2 linked regions of the Tribolium castaneum genome follow. The main gene of each other region encodes a partner of the protein of the gene in region 2 in a complex. Links are inferred from orthologs where the notes say so. Each region holds a gene or a part of one and is shown on either strand. Other genes may lie near its edges.

Region 1 (3,258 bases), about 6.5 Mb from region 2:
TTGTAAAAAAATTAATTCTCTACAACTTTTTTTCTAACATTTTTCTTGTATCATTAAACGTTTTAGCCGAAGTATTAGCAGAGTTTTGAAAAATTAAAAATTTTATAAATAATTTTCAGACTTTAGTCGTCAGTTTTTCTCAGCCTATTAAACATGCAAGCCTAAATGTTTTTGTATAATGTAAAAAAAATTATAATAGAAAATTAATCATTTGTACACAGCTTTATATTTTGCAAAAGACTGCAAATGTGGTTAAAGAGAAAAAGTAATAAAAATTGCTTTTGTGTTCCCTTGGTACGTAAAATAGCTTTAGCGGTTTTGAAGGTCTTAGGATAAAGATATGATGTCACCGAATTTTTTGTAGCAAATTAAATTCTTTCCAACTTCTCTCTTACGTGTTTCTTGTACATATCTTTAACAAGACTGGCGAAAGCGAAAGAATTTTTTTTTCATGTTTATTCTGTGCCAATGAGGAAGTCAAAGGTCAAATAAATAATAAGCGGTTTCGTGTCAACTATTTTATTGATATCAACTGTAAATATACATTCAATTAAAACAACTTACGCTTAAATCAACAAACTAGAAAAAAAATGGAATTTTCACTTATCGCTCTAATTTGAAACCAACCCCTAAACTTCGCAACTGACCGATTTTTCAGCGACTTAATAATACTTGGCTATAGTGAAACACGTAATATCAAAGTTTGCAACTTTGTACAGAAATTTATACAACACTTAAAAAAATATATTTAAAAAAGAAGATCTTCGTCTCCTTCATCTAGCAGATTAGCCACTTCAGCCGCCTGTTCGCGGGCTTTGTTATCGGCCTTTATGGCATCAGCTTTAGCACGCGCGACTTTCTTCTTATCTTGGATTTTTTTCAAACGGTAGAACTCCTCACGTTCTAGTTCGTCCAGTTCGGAGATAATGTAGGCCAAAGTGCGCTCAATCCTCGGGATAATAACTAGGAAAAAAATCACACACAAAAAACACAAAACAAAACTAATTACCGTGTTCAATAGCATTGACTCTTCTGTTCGTAATTTTGATAACTTCGTCTAGAGTGACGAAAGACGTTTGAAGTGACGCAAGCTCAACAAGAAGCTTCACAGCGCTTTGGTAATTCTTCTTGAGTTTGGCCAACTGCTGGCCACCTCTGGCCAAACCGGCCAGTTCGTAGGTGTCAGTCCCGTCCTGATAGCACTCAAAGACAGGCAAAGTCACACCTATACAACAAAAAAAAATAATCAATTGTAAAAAAAAATAAGCTAGGGCGCCCTAACCAGCCACATTATCTTTCTTAGTCCTGATTTTAATTTGGGCCTTTGTGACATTCTGCAACACGACCTGGTTGAAATCCCCAGTCGCAAATTTAGCCTCAGCCAACGAGAACGCCGCCTCTTTCATCACTTCGCCCATAAGTGTCTTGGTCTGAAACCCACATTGGGACAAAAAATCGATTTGAGATCAAACAAACCTCGATAATTTTGCTCAAAATCATACGGAAACGCATTTGCAACGCATCCGCCTTCTTTTTGAGCAGACTGTGGCCCTTCTGGGCCCCCTTTAGCCTCGCTTTCATTAACATTTGGGCCCTGAAAGAACAAGGGGTCACTCCCTTTTTTTTAACGAATTTTTTTCCGTCAAGCGTTAAAATCGGGATTTTACGCAATTGGAAAGCTACAAAAAGGGTGCTTACGTACCCTCGAGAGGGGAAAATCGCCAGTCTATCCTTCGAAGACATTTTTCAGCACTATTTTCATGTACTTCACGAGATCAGTCAGCTGACCGCGTGACATATGACAAGAACGCTCCCAGCGTCCTCTATTAAACATTAGTTCTAAACCATTTCTAAACCAACGAAACCAAAATTACGAAGGAAACTCAACAGATTTAGGCATGCTTTTAATTTATTCGTTTGACGGGAGAGTAATTATTGTTAAATTATGCAATTTGGCGTCCAAATAATCATTTTTGGTGCCGGTATAGTAGAAACCTTGACGTTACCGACGTTACGTAAGCTGTCATTTACGTAACCTCACATTTGGTGATGTAAAAAGCTTATGTAAACAAAATAATTATGTTTAAGGATTGTTTTAAATATTACAAGTCCAAAAATCCGCCCCCTGATTTGGAAAAAGTCTTTGATTTTAGTAACTGTGAGAAATTTTCGTCAAAAGCAAGTCTGGCAGTATTCTGTTTTTCATAATGAAAGGCAATTTTTAGGTCAGGAGAATTAATTTGGAAAAGACCGGCAATTCTGCCAGCAATTTTGGCCTAAACCCCGTAAAAACGTGGGAAGTGTACGAATTAGTTGACCATCCCGGTAACTAGAGTTGTAAAAAATTCACCTGCAATAAATAATTCGTTTCAAGGGCTGATTTTTATTAAAAATCCGTTCACCAGTATCGGGCAGAGGTACTGGGTGGTGCGTTGCTTGCAGGACTACTCAAAGCGCCCAAATAAGACGAACTTGGACGCTTTAAATTTAGTACCTGAGGGCAAGGAGTGGTGGGAAGTTTGTCAGAACAATAACAACAAAATATTAATGAACAAGTTGCGATGGGTCACTTTGGGTTATCACCACGATTGGGAGAGCAAAGTGCTGGGTCATAAAGCCCCGAGTTGAGCTAATTCAATTTTTTAGGTCTACGCTGAGGAAAATAAAGGAGAGTTTCCGAAAGATTTAGCCGAGTTGAGTAGATTTATAGCGGAGTCGCTTAACTTTTTGCATTTTAACGCTGAAGCGGCAATTGTGAATTATTACCACATGGACTCAACTTTGTCAGGTCACACTGACCATTCGGAACACAACTTAAAAGCTCCGCTTATCTCGCTTAGTTTTGGCCAAACTGCAATTTTTTTATTAGGAGGCAAGACTAAAGACGACGAGCCTTCCGCGATGTTTTTGCGAAGTGGCGATATTGTAGTAATGAGTGAAGAGTCAAGGCTGTGCTACCACGGTGTTCCTAAAATTTTACAAATGGATTCCAGGTTCTGGAACTGTTTTGAAGAAAATGATTTTACGAATGATTGCAAAAACGTTGTAAATATCTGTAAAGAGGAGACGTTATGGAAGCCGTTCGGCGACTATTTGAACAATTCTAGGATTAATATTAATGTAAGACAGGTGTTGCAAAGGGGCCAGAAACGGCTTTGTAGCGAATCTGACGAAAAAACGTGAAATAAAAAAATAAATACGAGATGGTATTTTTATTTTACATAAATAAATATTTACATGGGATTACATTTGTTATAG
Region 2 (3,071 bases):
AAAAAACATTAAAGGTGTTGAGCACATTGGTTAACAAAACGGAAAAGAAAGACAAGAAACCAGCAGGGAAAAAAGTCCAATTTAAACCAGAAGTGGACGAAAAAGAAGCAACAGATAATGAACAGCAAATGCAAGACGAAGAGGCAAATGTTCCCGAGAATGGTTTGATTTTTGTTTGTTGCGATTTTTTAGTCATGTTTTGTTGTAGATCCTGGCAAGAGGGCTATAACTTACCAGATTGCCAAAAATAAGGGTCTCACGCCGCACAGAAAGAAGGAACAAAGAAATCCAAGAGTGAAGCATAGGAACAAGTTTAGAAAAGCAAAAATACGAAGGAGAGGAGCTGTATGTCAACTTTTAGTATTTTTTCTTAAATTTAATTGCGCTATTTTTAGGTTCGTGAGCCGCGAACCGAAATGACGAGATATGGTGGGGAGCTTTCCGGGATTAAAGCAAGTGTTTCCAAGAGCATTAAAATTAAGACTTAATAAAAACGCATATGAAACAACAATGCTTTTATTTCTGTTTACAATAAAACAATTTATTGTGCTATTTTCTAGCTAGTTCACTTAATATTAACACAGATAACTGTACAAGTAGCCGTTTGAATAACATGATAAAATATACAACATCGAAATATGCGTAAATAACGAAAAAATAAAATGTAAAGAAAAAAAGGTCCCGATAATACTGGAAAGCTGATAATTGCACGGAAACACGAAAATAAAAATTCCTTAAAAGTAACTGGAATGAAGGGACGAAATTTAGCAATTTACCCTCACCTCTAATCTATAGGACTTAGACCTATGAACTAATTCATTTATAAACATATTGTACATTAATATCGAAAGACGGCAATTTTATAGTGAGGTTAAATATACGGCCTACAATAAAACTAATTTAATCCTCCAAGTTCCTGAAGGCTTGTTGAATATCCTCGTACAACTGGTCAAAATCGGCTTTGATTTTCGCCTCGCCGTCTTTAACTGGGTCCTTGAACTTCATACTGCTCAACTGGTACAAAATATTGCTCATGGAATCCCTGATCACGGTCCACGTGATTTTATTTTCAGACTGCGCGGTGCTTTCAACAGCATGTCGCGACATATCGTACAAACCGATCATATTTTTCAACATACCCACCGTCTTGTAGAACGGACAGAACCTATCGTACGACGAGTACGAATTCTGTTGCAAGAAATCTTCCTTAAGCAACTTGGCAATCTCAAGAGTGATTTTATCGGTCTCGGCTAGGGAGGCTTTACCGACCAGTTGCACGATTTCGGACAAGTCTTCTTCTTCTTGCAAGATCTCCTTGACCTTAGTACGCAACGCGACAAACTCTTGGAAGTTTTTATCGTAGAAATCGTCCAAAGCGCGCGTGTATTTAGAGTAGGAAATCAGCCAATTGATCGAAGGGAAATGTTTACGTTGGGCTAGTTTTTTATCCAACCCCCAGAACACTTGTACGATACCCAAGGTAGCTGAGGTGACGGGATCAGAGAAATCACCACCAGGGGGCGATACGGCCCCGACAATAGAAACGGAACCTTCACGATCAGGGTTACCCAAGCATTTAACACGCCCTGCACGCTCGTAAAACGAAGCCAAACGGGCCCCCAAATACGCGGGGTATCCAGAATCGGCGGGCATTTCAGCCAAACGACCGGAAATTTCTCTCAAAGCTTCGGCCCAACGCGAGGTGGAATCGGCCATCATCGACACGTTGTAACCCATATCACGGAAATACTCAGACAGTGTAATACCGGTGTAAATTGAAGCCTCACGGGCGGCTACAGGCATGTTAGAGGTGTTGGCGACAAGAGCGGTACGTTTCATGATAGACTCTGTTTGGCCTTCGATTTCGACTGTCAGTTCGGGGAAGTCCCGCAATACTTCAGACATTTCGTTACCACGCTCCCCGCAACCGACGTAAATGATAACGTCAGAGTTGGAATATTTGGAGAGAGATTGCGAGATTACGGTCTTACCGCAACCGAAAGCTCCGGGAATGGCGGTGGTACCCCCTTGGACGCACCTAAATAAAAATTGGTAGAGAAAAGGGACTAGTTTTTGAAAGGGGGCTTACGGGAAAAGTGAGTCGAGTACGCGTTGACCGGTTAATAGGGGGTGATTGGCTGGCAATTTCTCGCTGACAGGACGGGGCTGACGCACAGGCCACACTTGCAACATGGTGTATTTGGTCCTCTCGCCGTCGAATTCCGTCTCCAAGACGACTTCCTGTAGCGTAATGATAATTTTTAATTTTTTCCCCAAATGAAAAATAATTAAAAGTAGTGGCTTTTTATAATTAAAATTAAATATTAAATTAAATTAAATTTTAATTATAATTAAAATTAAAAAACATTTGAACGTTCAAAGTTCCACAAATAATATCACAACTCAAAAATAGCTATTTCCGAAATATTTTCTCTAGCTAAACACGAAAATAATCAAAAAAGTTTTGATTAGCTCTTATTGTCAAGATACAGAACTTGCTTGGGTAATTAATCTCACCATGGCTGGTTTGTGTGAAATTTATTCTTAGCTTGATTCTCTATTTGACCTTTTCAATTAAGTTTCAAACATTTCTGGTCGTATACAGAACGAGAAATTAAGATATAATCCAGAATTAAAATAATTCGAATTAGGTAGCCATTAGTTTTGCATTGACAAACCTCGAGTTCATGGCAAATTAAATTTTAACTACAATCACAATTATCGTGATAACGTTTAAAAGTTTTTTTTGTTGTTTTGTTTTTAGATTAGATTTATTTATTTTTGTCAATTCCACATATTTTGATACTGGCTCTTTTATTATTATTATATTATTATAAAGTACTTACCTAAGAACAATTTAACACATTTTACTTATTAGAAAGACTCATTTCCTTTGAACAATTTTTGTATCGGTTTAGAGTAAAAAAATATTTAAGTCGACGTGTCCAAAGTTTCAGATGTCTGTTCGCCTCTATTATTATTGTTTTTTCAATTTTTTTTTAATTTTGGCTTAAATAACTATAATGTAATTAGTTATTTATTTAAACAATTTCCTCATAAAAATGTGAATT

Evidence for each region. The genes of interacting proteins can lie anywhere in the genome.
Region 1: the proteins of V-type proton ATPase catalytic subunit A (region 2) and V-type proton ATPase subunit D are in contact, whole or in part, in a cryo-EM structure (PDB 9B8P), measured with the Rattus norvegicus proteins. The link is inferred for Tribolium castaneum from reciprocal best matches to the Homo sapiens genes ATP6V1A and ATP6V1D. Residues at the interface, in NP_001101788.1 of Rattus norvegicus: Ala366, Met368, Pro369, Ala370, Asp371, Ser372, Asp416, Ser418, Asp436, Lys438, Glu491, Gln494, Leu495, Val496; in NP_955418.1 of Rattus norvegicus: Lys4, Asp5, Arg6, Arg167, Ala171, Val175, Ile176, Arg179, Tyr186, Glu190, Arg194, Glu197, Tyr200, Arg201, Lys204, Ile205, Lys208.

Annotation. Positions count from the first base shown.
Region 1 is NC_087402.1:2,631,129-2,634,386, reverse strand, and holds V-type proton ATPase subunit D, read right to left. Parts: upstream 1,855-3,258; 5' UTR 1,744-1,854; coding exon 1,703-1,743; intron 1,595-1,702; coding exon 1,477-1,594; intron 1,431-1,476; coding exon 1,283-1,430; intron 1,226-1,282; coding exon 1,010-1,225; intron 964-1,009; coding exon 749-963; 3' UTR 504-748; downstream 1-503. Other genes in the region: AlkB (nucleic acid dioxygenase ALKBH1), read left to right, coding at 2,080-2,178, 2,226-2,325, 2,375-2,601, 2,647-3,183. UniProt on the Homo sapiens protein: Subunit of the V1 complex of vacuolar(H+)-ATPase (V-ATPase), a multisubunit enzyme composed of a peripheral complex (V1) that hydrolyzes ATP and a membrane integral complex (V0) that translocates protons.
Region 2 is NC_087402.1:9,102,504-9,105,574, reverse strand, and holds the end of V-type proton ATPase catalytic subunit A, read right to left. Parts: intron 2,242-3,071; coding exon 2,090-2,241; intron 2,039-2,089; coding exon 901-2,038; 3' UTR 501-900; downstream 1-500. Other genes in the region: Sas10 (something about silencing protein 10), read left to right, coding at 1-162, 209-345, 396-488. UniProt on the Homo sapiens protein: Catalytic subunit of the V1 complex of vacuolar(H+)-ATPase (V-ATPase), a multisubunit enzyme composed of a peripheral complex (V1) that hydrolyzes ATP and a membrane integral complex (V0) that translocates protons.